Linked DNA regions of Xenopus tropicalis. The protein of the gene in region 1 purifies or fractionates together with the protein of each later gene. This does not show direct contact. Links are inferred from orthologs where the notes say so. Each region holds a gene or a part of one and is shown in the gene's direction. Other genes may lie near its edges.

The links. Proteins that work in one complex are often made in the same cells at the same time.
Region 2: the proteins of ccdc68 (region 1) and cep170 purify together in Homo sapiens (co-immunoprecipitation; 3 studies listed by BioGRID and IntAct, counting the BioPlex papers as one, with this or other methods). This does not show direct contact. The link is inferred for Xenopus tropicalis from reciprocal best matches to the Homo sapiens genes CCDC68 and CEP170.

What each region holds. Positions count from the first base shown.
Region 1 is NC_030677.2:203,220,613-203,227,639, forward strand, and holds the start of ccdc68 (coiled-coil domain-containing protein 68), read left to right. Parts: upstream 1-2,571; 5' UTR 2,572-2,820; intron 2,821-7,027. UniProt on the Homo sapiens protein: Centriolar protein required for centriole subdistal appendage assembly and microtubule anchoring in interphase cells. Together with CCDC120, cooperate with subdistal appendage components ODF2, NIN and CEP170 for hierarchical subdistal appendage assembly.
Region 2 is NC_030681.2:57,386,024-57,392,950, forward strand, and holds part of cep170 (centrosomal protein of 170 kDa), read left to right. Parts: intron 1-99; coding exon 100-579; intron 580-3,410; coding exon 3,411-4,054; intron 4,055-6,927.

The sequences.
Region 1 (7,027 bases):
TCTGGTGGGGTTGGACTGAGTGGGCAAATGTCCAGCTAGGACTTATAATATCCCTATATTATACAATAGGGGGTACTTTATTCACTATATAATATATGGATGAGCAGGTTGGAAACCTTATGCAACAGGTGATTCCAAAGGTATAGATAGAACCCCTCCGGCTGCACCTCCCTTACTGCAGGAGTTAAATAAACCTCACTCGCTCTGTGTATTTGTGTCACTGCCCCGTGGGTTGAAATGACTGCAATGGAAATAGGAAGCAGCGACATTGCTCCGGGCATGATATGTTACAGGTTTTAGGAAATCGCTTGTATTTCTTCTCTCTTTTAGGAGACTTACGGTTGCCGCTATGGGAGATGGGGGGTCCCTAGCAATGCAGGGAGGCTGAGGACCCCATGGGGGGGGGGGATACATAAAATGTGCAACCTAAAGCTTTGTGCTTGTACCTGTCCTTCCCCCCCATCACTAACCACATGAAGTTTCCACTACCCTTATACTGGCCCTGAGGAGGCTGTGGAAAATAAAATCATAGTCGCGTTCAGGTGACCTTCATCCGCCCAAGCCGGTACTGAGCTGCTTATGGTTTCTGCATGGAAAATGCACTTTATTCCCCCGAGACAGAAACCTCCTGCCCATAATCTAATTGGAGCAGTCATTAGAGAGAAAGAGACAGTAACCCTGGCCCCAGAGACTCCAGGCTGTGCCCAAGTACTCAGGCATTAGGCACAGCTGAACTTTACCCCTGCGAGGAGAAAGGGTGTGGAGCAGCGGTGCTTAGGGAGGAGGGCAGCCTGTTTGTATCTGCCCTGGGCACTGCCTGCATGTATTCCCCTTGCTTCTCCCAGAATAGGCACCGGTACCAACCCTTGGGCACCTTTATAATGCTCCCGTTGGGCACCTTTATAATGCTTCTGTTGGGCACCTTTATAATGCTCCCGTTGGGCACCTTTATAATGCTCCCGTTGGGCACCTTTATAATGCTCCTGTTGGGCGCCTTTATAATGCTACCGTTGGGCACCTTTATAATGCTCCCGTTGGGCACCTTTATAATGCTCCCGTTGGGCACCTTTATACTGCTCCCGTTGGGCACCTATATACTGCTCCCGTTGGGCACCTTTATACTGCTCCCGTTGGGCACCTTTATACTGCTCCCATTGGGCACCTTTATAATGCTCCCTTTGGGCACCTATATACTGCTCCCGTTGGGCACCTTTATACTGCTCCCATTGGGCACCTTTATAATGCTCCCTTTGGGCACCTATATACTGCTCCCGTTGGGCACCTTTATACTGCTCCCATTGGGCACCTTTATAATGCTCCCTTTGGGCACCTATATACTGCTCCCGTTGGGCACCTTTATAATGCTCCCTTTGGGCACCTATATACTGCTCCCGTTGGGCACCTTTATACTGCTCCCATTGGGCACCTTTATAATGCTCCCTTTGGGCACCTATATACTGCTCCCATTGGGCACCTTTATAATGCTCCCTTTGGGCACCTATATACTGCTCCCGTTGGGCACCTTTATACTGCTCCCGTTGGGCACCTTTATAATGCTCCCGTTGGGCACCTATATACTGCTCCCGTTGGGCACCTTTATACTGCTCCCGTTGGGCACCTTTATAATGCTCCCGTTGGGCACCTATATACTGCTCCCGTTGGGCACCTTTATAATGCTCCCGTTGGGCACCTTTATACTGCTCCCGTTGGGCACCTATATACTGCTCCCGTTGGGCACCTTTATAATGCTCCCGTTGGGCACCTATATACTGCTCCCGTTGGGCACCTATATACTGCTCCCGTTGGGCACCTTTATACTGCTCCCGTTGGGCACCTATATACTGCTCCCGTTGGGCACCTTTATACTGCTCCCGTTGGGCACCTATATACTGCTCCCGTTGGGCACCTATATACTGCTCCCGTTGGGCACCTATATACTGCTCCCATTGGGCACCTATATACTGCTCCCGTTGGGCACCTTTATACTGCTCCCGTTGGGCACCTATATACTGCTCCCGTTGGGCACCTTTATACTGCTCCCGTTGGGCACCTATATACTGCTCCCGTTGGGCACCTATATACTGCTCCCGTTGGGCACCTTTATACTGCTCCCGTTGGGCACCTATATACTGCTCCCGTTGGGCACCTATATACTGCTCCCGTTGGGCACCTTTATACTGCTCCCGTTGGGTGCCTTTATAATGCTCCTGTCGCAGTTCCCACCCTGCTTGCTTTTCCATGGGATCAACAAGTGCACAGATTCCTATTCAGCCCTCCGGCTCTAGCTAACTATTAACGTCATTATGTCCGGTCACACCCTGCCTAGGGCTATGTACTAATCACCCTCAGATTTAATGCCATTAGTGTATGTTTTGTAATACAGGGGGCTGCTCAGCACCTCAGGCACAGGGCCTTTATAACCCAGCAGGGGTTGGCACAGGCAGGGGTTGGCACAGGTAGGGTTAAGCTCACCTGTTGCCTTGTGTTTATATATACACTTGCTATTTAACCCTTTCCTTGAAATTGCCAGCAAAGCATTCAATTCAGCCAATGGAACGGGGGGGGGGGGAAGGGAGCACTGCAAAGGTTAATGTGGTTTCCCTGTGTATGTGATTGTGTGCTGCCTGCTGTCACCCAGTGGAGAGGTGTCTGACTCACAGGTAGGTGGGGCCCCGGCTCCCCAGGCAGAACTGACTGTGCTGCGCTGGAACACACAGGCGCTGATGGCTGCTCCCCTAATCTGTGCCCTGAGAGTGTGAGATCCCTTGCCGAGCCGGGGTAACGGCTACTCAGCACAAGGCAATACAAGCCCCCCGTAAGGTAAGTCTCCCTAGAGGGGTGCTTGGGTTGGGAGGTGGGGGGGATTTAAAAAAAAAAAGTTTTTCCTTTTTCCATCCATAAATGGATTTTATAATTGTGTAGATTGTAAGCTCTTTTGGGCAGGGCTCTCTTCACCTCTTGTATCGGTTATTGGTTGCTTTATATGTTACTCCTTGTAGAGTGTAAGCTCTTTTGGGCAGGACTCTCTTCCCCTCTTGTATCGGTTATTGGTTGCTTTATATGTTACTCTGTATGTCCAATGTATGAAACCCACTTATTGTACAGCGCTGCGGGGTATGTTGGCGCTTTATAAATAAATGTTAATAATAAGAATTGTTCAATGGCTGTAGCCATGTGCGGGGTTGGCCAGGTATTGCATATAGAGTGCAGCTCTGTGCATTTGTACTGCAACTCTCATCACTCCCTGAAAGCCTTCAGCGGCTATGGAAGTGCAGGGGAAATTTGTAAAACCATAACTATTATTGTGTAACGTTATAAATGCATTTGGTGGAACATCTTGTATGTTGCAATCTGATTGAATGCGGGTTCCATTCAGTTCTGTGTTAGTACAGCGCTTGGGTCACAGGTCGCAAGGGCTGAAGTCACTTTCACTCCCTCTATTTACCCCCAGGGCAATGCAGAGCTGCTCCCTGTAGCGCTCTATCTCTCCTCACTAATTATATATATATATATATATATATATATATATATATATATATACATACAGTGCCTGGATGCTGCCATAGCACTCTCTGCACAGGAGGAAGTGCTAAAAGAAATCTCAGCGGGGGGAGAAAAAGGGACATTTTTCTGTAAAAATGAAAAAAGGAACTTGTCAGGTTTATTGTGCTGCTAATATCATATATTTCATATATAACATTATGATTCCTGTCCCATTATACTGTATGGGGGCTGATGCACTTCACAGAAATCAGGGACATTACTACAGAGTAAGAACCTGAGGCACCCTGGAGATATAGGGGTCCCAGTGGGGCATTAAAGTTAAGGGGTGGGTCACCTTCAGGTAAACGAATTGCCTATTCTTTTTCAATAGGTCTTTATTGTTTATAGCTCTTGAATTGCCTTCCTCTTCTGACTCTTTCTGGCTTTCAAAGTGGGGGGTCACTGACCCCAGCAGCTAAATAACCCTTGCTCTTTGAGGCTGCAATTTTATTGTCACTTTTTATTACTGATTACTAATTTCTAGTTAAGCCCTCCTCTATCCATATTCCTGGTTGCTAGGCTAAACTGGACCCCAGCAACAAAATAGCTGCTGACGTTTTAAACTAGAGAGCTGCTGAACAAAAAGCAAAATAATTCAAACACTGCAAATAAAAAAAAATGAAGACCAATTGCAAATTGTTTCAGAATAGCACTCTCTAAATCATACTAAAAGGATGAACTACCTTTTTTAAGGGGGGCCCCAGAATGATTTGTGGCGCACATCTGGCACTGTTAGCAGCCTCTCAATAGGAGTGAATTTAGTTATGATTTTTTATTATACAGGTATCGGACCCCTTATCCGGAAACCCGTTATCCAGAAAGCTCCGAATTACGGAAAGCCCATCTCCCATAGACTCCATTTTAATCAAATAATTCAGAATTTTAAAACTGATTTCCTTTTTCTATGTAGAAATAAAACAGTACCTGTACTTGATCCAAACTAAGATAGAAATAATCCTTATTGGATGCAAAACATTCCTATTGGGTTTAATTAATGTTTTATTGATTTTTTAGTAGACTTAAGGTGTGGAGATCCAAATTACGGAAAGATCCCTTATCCGGAATGCCCTTGGTCCTGAGCATTCTGGATAATGGGTCCTATACCTGTAATAACTCTATTCTAGGGTTTCAGGCCATTGATCCAATCAGCTGCAGTTCAGCTACAACTCCCAAGGAATGATGGGGGGGCTGTAGTTGGACAATGATTGGTGCAATAGTTCAAAAACCCCCATAGAGAATATAAAATATAAATGGCTCGTTTATCCTCACTTGTGGGTAATTGTCATCATAATAGCATGTAAGGACACCGGATCTATGAGGCTTTAGTAGAGCAACTTACTACAATCAGTTTTGTTTAAGAGGATGCTGGGAGCTGTAGTTTAGATACAAATGAATGTATTGCCTATAAAAGCAATGATAAGTGGTACCCTCCTCTGTTCCGCTAAAGAGGTTCTCACCGAGTCCCATTCAGATCCTGGCATGCAGAACTGCAGCATCGTGTAATTACCTGCATTTTGTTTTTCTGCTTTTTATTAGCACTGGCGCCTGTATAAAGAGTCATTGTATGGGATCAATTGACAGGCAGGACCAAACCTGTAGCTGAGCAGATCCTGGGGAATGGGGGTGTCACTGCCCTAGGGATGGGAAGCACCCATATTCACCAATATAAGCCAGTTTGCACTGCTGGCTCCCAGCACAGTCTGCACAGAGCCCTCTCTAGGGGGTTCAAATAAGAACTCTGGACAGTAAAGGGACCCAGCTGAACTACAGAGGTAGGTTGGAAAAATGGGCATAATATGTACATTATAGCACAGCAGGATGGGCATGGTCGGGCAAGGTAGCACCACTAGAGCAAGATGGTAAGCGTAGGGCAAGATTGGTGGTAGTAGGGCAAGATGGCAGCAGTACTTGTATAAACGTTCCAGCATGGTGCCATTGACCTTTTAGTATGATGTAAAAAGTGATACTCTGAGACAATTGCAGTTGGTCTTCATTTTTTTCCAGTTTTTTTATTCAGCAGCTCCTCTGTTGAGGGTGAAGACACACAGAGCTACTTAGTAGCAGCTACTTGTCACGGCTACAAAACGCCATAGACAGTACTGAAGATTTCCTCTGCTAAAACACACATAGAAACAATTATCAGTAAATAATCAACATTGTCTATTTTAGTAGCCGTGACAAGTAGCTGCTACTAGTAGACCTATGTGTCTTCACCCTTAAGGTTCCCATACACATGAAGATCCGCTCGCTTGGCAAGGTCGCCAAGCGAGAGGATCTTCTCCCTATATCCCCACCTACGGGTGGGCGATATCGGGGAAAATGTAGGCTAATTCGATCATTTGGCCCTGGGGCCAAACGATCAAATTATAATGGCAGCAATGGGGCAATCGGTCCAACTAAATCTTTTAACCTGCCTCAGGGCAAATATCTGTCGTTCCTGCCCCTACACGGGCCGATAAACTGCCGAATGGGTCCAAGGGACCGATATTGGCAGCTACAATTGGCCCGTGTATGGCCACCTTTAGTGTTTTAGTTAAGCTATCTGATTGCTAGGGTCTTATTTACCCTAGTGGCAGTGGTTTGAATGAGAGAGTGGAATATGAATATAAGAGGCCTGAAGAGAATAATAAAATAAGTAACAATAAAACTGTAGCCTCACAGAGCAATAGCGTTTTGGCTGCTGGGGTGCTATTTGAAAGGTGAACAGGGTCAGCCTTGTGCAGGAGCATGGGGCAAGGAGGTCGCCCCAATTCTAGCTGCCGATATTGGTCCTTTAGACATATTGGGCAGCTTATCTGGCCGTGTATGGGCACTAACGACGGGCCTCACCGACTGACATCTGGCCTGAAATCAGATAGTTCTCGATCGGGCAGGTTTAATTTTTACGTCGGATCGGGGCCCGTAGGTGGGCATATCTGGAGAAGATCCGCTCACTTGGCGACCTTGCCAACAGGTGGATCTTACAGTGTATGACCAGCTTTAGTCAATCGCATACAGTTTTGCAGGTAGATAAAACAAGAATGAGGGCTGAGCTGAAACTCTATATAAATGCAGTAAAGCACTGAGCTGATGCAGTTTTGCATTTGTTTACATTGCCGGACCGACACCGCTTCTTACACGTTTATCACTATTGTGCCTGTAGTTACCACTTCTGATTTCCCCTGCACAAAGCTCCTCTCTGGGCCTGATTGTGAGCAGTGCAAGGACACAAGTGAGGGAACAATAAGCGATCAAACTGCCTGTTTATCTTTTCATCTCCGCTCAAAGGCTGCACCTGTTTATCCAGCAGTGCCACAATGGCTTCCATTCATTCCGCCGCTGAAACTCTAGGAGCCCTTTTTTTTTCCAGCGTGTGTTTGTATTTGTTTCGCCAGACTCGCCTTTTTTTGCTTACGAAGATTTCTCATACTAGAGATTTTCTGTAACAGGATTTGCTTAATGTCAGGGCCTTAGGGTTTGTTTACAATAAGACCGTTGAAATATG
Region 2 (6,927 bases), on another chromosome or scaffold:
ATACCTGTGTATATATAAATACAGGTCTTGAGTCACTGTTATTACTGATTGTCCAGTTAAATCTTAGGTCTAAAGTGGTCTAACTGATTTTATTTGCAGGCTACAACAAGGATACTAAGAAAGATAGAGATGAGGGCACAGCAGGGAAAGAGGAAACATTATTTCTGCTTTGTAGGGAGCCAAGTTACTTTGAGATACCGACAAAAGAATCTCCACAAAAATCTGATGTTGAAGAGAACATTATCCATGAAATCCCAACGAAGGACACACATTGCTCTCATGCACTAGGTGCAGGACATGCATCATTTACAATAGAGTTTGATGAGAACTCTCCAGGTAAAGTAACTATTAAGGATCACGTTACAAAATTCACTCCAGATTATCGACAGAAATCAAAGAAAACATCACCATCTTGCGCCAAGGATCTCTCTGCATTACAAACAGAGATGTTGGCTGCAGAAAGTAAAGTTGCAGATTGGTTGGCACAAAACAATCCACCATGTTTGAGAAAAGAAGTGCCTGAGGAAGATACCAAGAGTATTAAAAGTGATGTTCCAGTTTACCTGAAGAGACTGAAAGGTAATATACTAAACACCAATAGTTTATATTGTTTTATATATTTTATGTCAGAAAAGACGGTAAGGAAATCCCTGTGTTTTCGGAGCACTTCAAGTTATAATCATCAACAGAAAATCTTTCATCGGCTCACCACGTCAACTGGGGCTTTTACTAAAGTTTAATTTTATTTGGTTCTATTTTTTTTTTTAGTTTTGTAGTGATTTATTATGCAACAAAGCTGTGACAATTTTTAATGCAAAAAGTCAGTGGCAGTTACAGATCTTTTTTTGCTTCATTATTTTTAAACTTTACAGGGTTTTTTTGTGCTGGCTTTTGTATGACAGTACAAAAAAGTCACATTTTTTAGTGACTTTTTTTACCTTTTGTGCTTTTTCAATTCTAATCTTTTGATAAATGGCATTCATGAAAATGATGTTTGAGTTTATTTTTTTTTTTCATTTAAATTTGAGTTTAGTTTAAAAAAATTTGAATAAAAAACATGAAAATCCGAATGTTATTAAACGGGCCTCGCCATTTTTAAAAAATTTTTAACAGACTTAAGGTAAAAATAAATTACAGAAAAATCCCCTTCTGGAAAATCCCCGGACCCTTGAATTCTGCAGGTAGATCATATACTGATATTTGTATAGTGTTTTGAATTATGTCTGATTTAAACATGCACCAGTTCATTATCTTCAGAGTGTACTAAATAAGAACAATTAAAATTGTACACACCATTGCATGTCATATGGTTCTTGTTTAAACAAAAACTACTGTAGTGTAATTTTGTACAAATATTTATTTTTAACAGTTCCTCAGCCTAGCATATTCTTCCTCATTTTTCTTGTTTCACAAGTTCATTCTAGCATGAATCAGTTATTCAGAATGCCCAACTGCCTAATAGCACACATGAGTTTGAAGAAACAAAAGTGTTTGGTTGAGGCACAACCTTAATATTTCATTTATATCATTATATTCTACAAACAAGAGAAAACACTCCCAGTGTATTAGCATAAGAACTATACAGTGAGCAGCTTTGTGGCCCAATTTATTTGTCATAATGTAAATTCTTACAAAAACCTTTAAAAAAATAAATAAATGACAGTGAAATAGCATTTAAAGGTGATATTCTGCTTTCCATATCCAAACACTTATTACCCTCTGTTTTACAAACAAAACAAACAATTTCTGACTTTGGACAAATCTTTGACTTTAAGAGCCATAGCCTTGTCTTACAAAACACATAAACCTGCATGGGCCAAATTATACCAATTAAAGCTGGCCAAAGACACCTTCACCTACTTGGCAAGTTGAGACAACAACAAGCCACACAAAATTTACACTGACTTTAACCTTGATCTTAGAAAATAAAGCCAAAAAGATACATAAATGGCTTAAATAATAAATGCTAAAACTCACGACAAGAGTAAATTTGATAACATTGATCTCATGTCCTTTCGCAAATTTTTGGACTCAGTTCAGATCCTGCCAGAATTATTATTAGAGTTGACAACACAACCCACTGGCATAAAAATTTGACAGATGTAGCATCTAAATAGTTACTATACACTACACCATAATAAGAAACAAAGCAGAATGAATAGCTATTTGTCCTCATTGTCTTTAAATGAGAACTGGATCTTAACAAAAGAAGTAGGGCAAAATGTTGTAAATTATATTTATGGCTTTTAAACAAGCCCTAGGCAACCACAGCCATTTAGCAGTGAAGATCTGTGCCTTCAAAGATGCCCTTCAGTAGCTCCCCATCTTCTTTTCTGCTTATTCACTACATTCTCTGTGCTGCTGTCAGCTGCTTGTTCATATGGCAGGGAACATTATTACTTGCTTGCTGGCACAGGCAGGGCCGGACTTCTAAATAGGGTGCCATTGTGGCTGGGCAGCATGCCGCTCCTAAATTTCTGCCATCCTAGGCCCGGGCCTTTGTGGCCTCATCACAAATCCGGGCCTGGGCACAGGTACTTTAGGGGTATAAATGTGCTGGCACAGCTTTAGATATCCCTCTACAGGAGCTACTGAGTTTGTACTTCAGTAGTGAGTGCAATTTGCAGCTCTTTTCTTTTTTTATCTGGCTTATCACCCATTGCTGTAGCCCATTGCCCCTGGACTGCTAGACCATACTGGCCTTGTGGAGGAGTAACCCATGGAAGGAATTTTGTAATAATAATAATAACTGTTATATTCAAGGCTTTAGCTGTGAAATTAGCCAGTAATACTGCAACAGAAGCTTCTGAAAATAAGGCTTAAGTAAGATCAATATACATTCGGCTCTTAATATATTCATTAGACAAAACCAAATGGGAAATACAATATTTCAGAAATTTAAGCTGGCTTGATACACTGCTGACTTGGGAGTCAATATCTGTCAGTATATGGGAACTTTTAGAGCTGCTGAGTGTGTTTGGGGAGAGCAAAGGAGAAGTTTAGAATAAGTGTTTAGGCAGCAAAGGACAAATAGAACTCTGGACTCGCTGGTCAGTATACAAGATCATCTGGAAAAGCTGGAAACTCATGATAAGGACAATAAACAACTGGATCATGCCATAACAAGATATTTACTGAAACCCTAGCAGAAAATAGCAAACCCATAAATCTGTAACCTGTAAATCGTAATAAACCTGAAATAAAACCTAAAGAAACAAACTACCAAGAATCTGCTTCTAATTGCAGCTTGTAAGTTGAGCCATGTGTGGGTAAAAGTAAAAATGTATATATATTTAAAACCTGCTTCATTTTGGTATTTTAATATTCTTGTTCTTTTTCCCCAAATATTAATATCAGTGTTCTATTCACAATGTGTCTTATTCATTTTTCCTCTGGTTTTTCCTAAATAGGGCACACACACGATGATGGAACACAAAGCGATTATGAAAATAGTGGGGCTCACAAACGTTTCAATAAGTGTACGAACTTAGATGAACATTTAAGACCAAGAAATCTTGAACAAACAAAGTTAAACATAAAATTCCATTCTTCAGGAAAACACCAAGAAACAAGTCAAACTGCTTTTATGATAGAATTTTTTGATGATGACCATCCTAGAAAGAGGCGTTCATATTCTTTTACACAGAATGCAGGTGCTGCTGGTCCAGAAGCACCTTATCCTATACCACAGTCAAGAATTGAAAAGGTAAAAGCTGCTTCAACTGACCACAAACTATTAACAATAGGTTCACAGTCTGGTACATCTTCTCACAGAGTGATCCACAGCACACAGCATGCAAAATTGTTGTTGAAACAAAAATCAGAAGAACCCTGTGCACCATTAATGTTATCACAAAATGTGTTATTAAGAAGCTCTGGAAGTCTTGGACATCGACCAAACAAAAAACGAGTCATAGGTGATGAATTGGAAATCCCCTCTGTTTCTGATTGTAATAAAAGGCATGTTGATGACCAAGGTGACAAAGTGAGATATGCTAATAAATGGGATTTGCTTAATCAAGAGGAGACTGACCCTTCTAAAATGATTGATAAGGTAGGATTGATTTTGCTATAATATGCAGTGCATTAATTTGCATCTGTAAAAAATGAGCAATTAGGAGTTTATCTGCAGAAAGTGTTTTCTTTTAGGGGTAACATTGCTCTTGCCAAAGTGTTGTAGTTCAACCTTTATTAATATCAATGTCTACCAGAAATTAAAAAAAATACAACCTTCTGGGTACCATGCCCCTATGTATTTAATAATTTCATTATCCAGTTTGCTTAGACAGCAATTAGAGGTTTTAAAGCAAAACTTTTCTGTAATCTTTGAGCTTTTCTGCTACACTGCTACTGTTTCCTTGTAGCAGTATAGGTAGCAGCTTTACTTGTGTCATGTAGTGAATTATGGAATTTCAGGAATGTTTCTGAATGGTTAACTGGACTGATAAATAGTGCTGTGGGTACCTCCTGTACCTGGTCCTGTATCACGATGGTTAGAGTACCTTTGGCATATTACATTACATTACATTAACATTTATTTATAAAGCGCCAACATATTCCGCAGCGCTGTACAATATGTGGGTTACATACATTGGACATACAGAGTAACATATAAAGCAATCAGTAACCGATACAAGAGGCATATTGTGCACTTGTGACTGTTTTGGTCTAAACTGAAGTTCACGGGAATTATCTGAGTACTGGTAATCTTCAGTTTCCTTGTTTCTCCTGTTTAACTTTAGAAATAACAAAAACTTACGTTTTGCTTATTTTATTCATGAAAAACAATGTTCAGCACAAAATCCACAACTAGCCATTAGCATATGCAGAATGACCATTTGAAATTATATCAGACTCTAGAAGGTGGGTGATGTGACTTACCATATAGGCAGCAACCAAATTGCTGTCAGAGCAGACAAATTCTAGAGCCCACAACAAATATCTGTCAATCTTCTTTTAAAGGACATGTAAACCCTACACACAAAAATTTAACCAGTGAATAGCCTCTTCGAAATCTTTCAATACCTGCCACACTGGTTGTCCAGTGGTTAATAGTAAGGCTGCAACATCCCCTTAATCACTTAGATTTCCTTCTCCTCCTCCCGAGTTCCTCCTGAGCTCAGCTTTACTATTACAGTGCTCAAACAAAGCAGAACTTTTATCAAAGACAGTTGTGCCTGTGTGAGCCTGTATTTTTGATGAAATGTATGCTGAATAAGGGTTTGTGTGTGTGTATGCTGTTTGCAGATTTAAATGTATCTGGGTCACCGGGTGAAAGCTGCTATTTGCTTTAGGAAAATGTGATGGTGCTTACAAGCGGAGGGGATATATGCAGTACAAATGATGCAATTTGGGTGGGGGAGACGTGCCCAACTGATATACATTGTAGGTAAATGTAGGCTTTACATGTCCTTTAAGATTGATTATACTTAAGGTCTGGCCTGGGAAGTAAAGTGATACAAAGACATTCACAGAAATCATAATTAGAAGTTACCTTATTAATTAGGGGGAAAATTATGAAAAGTTAAGTTGGGATTGAATAGCAAAGTCAGCCTGCTTGGAAAGTTGACCAGCGACCTTTGAAACTGTGGTCCCAGCTCTCTTCATGTCATTGACCAGTGCCTCCCTTGTAGTTCTGGGCTGATTTCTCACCTCTCTTATCATCAGTGATACCCCACGAGGTGAGATCTTGCATGGAGCCCCAGTGCTAGGGAGACTGACAGTCATCTTTAGCCTCTTCCATTTTCTAACAATTGCTCCAACAGTTGATCTATTTTCACCAAGCTGCTTGGCAATTGCCCCATAGCCCTTTCCAGCCTTGTGGAGGCCCACAATTTTGTCTCTGGTGTCTTTTTACGGCTCTTTGGTCTTGCCCTATGGTAGTAGTTGGAGTCTGACTGACTGTGGGGTGGACAGGTGTCTTTAAAGAGCTCAGACAGGTGCTACTAATTTAGTTTAATGAGTGGAGGAGAGGTGGACTATTTAAAGGCACAGTAACAGGTCTTTGAGAGCCAAAATTCTTGCTGATTGCCAGGTGTTCAAATACTTATGTGCAACAGTGCAATACAAATAGATTCTTTAAAAATCATACAATGTGATTTCCTGAATTTTTTTTTTTAAATGCTGTCTCTCACAGTGGGAATGCACCTACAATTTGAATTTTAGACCCCTCCATGATTTCTAAGTTGGAGAACTTGCAAAATTGCAGGGTGTTCAAATACTTTTGTTCCTCAATGTAGTCCACATGATCCTCCACAACAAAATACCTCAAAAATGAAAAAACATGAGGCTGGCACTAAAGAAAACTGGACCAAATAGTCAAGAAGTGGTGCAGTTAAAACATTTTTATTTAAAGAAAGAACATCTCAAAACAAGAGCTGCCTAATGCGTTTCATGCCTAAAGTGGGCACTTAACATTGGTATGATTAAGTGCCCGTTCTAGGCATGAAACGCGATAGGCCCACAGGAGCCAGTATGTCTCATGTGTATGTCACACAGTGCTTTTCTCTGAAGCGGTGGAGAAAAGTCTGATCTTTTTTGTTTGTCCATTGACAGGAAAACAATAGATCCACTTCCCACTGCATACATGGCACAGATCTTTGCCTAGAAAATGCTTGTTAATTTTCTGGCACTTGTTTTACAGCACTTGTTTTGCCCTTATTGGGCTTTGTCAAAGGCCAATAAGGGTGAAACACTTCAGGCATATTAGATGGGAAAACTGTTGACTAACGGAGTTAGTGATTGTGAAAGTAGGGTACTTACCGACATTGCAGGTGGTGCGGACAGTAGCTGTTAGGGCCATGCACTGGAGGCCAGGAAAAGAGCAGGCAATGTGAACCTCCTAACTACAAAGTATCTGTGTGAAGTGACCACATTGTTACCCTTTGTGATTGTGAATTGGGCAGTGTAAAAAAAACTGTAAAGGGG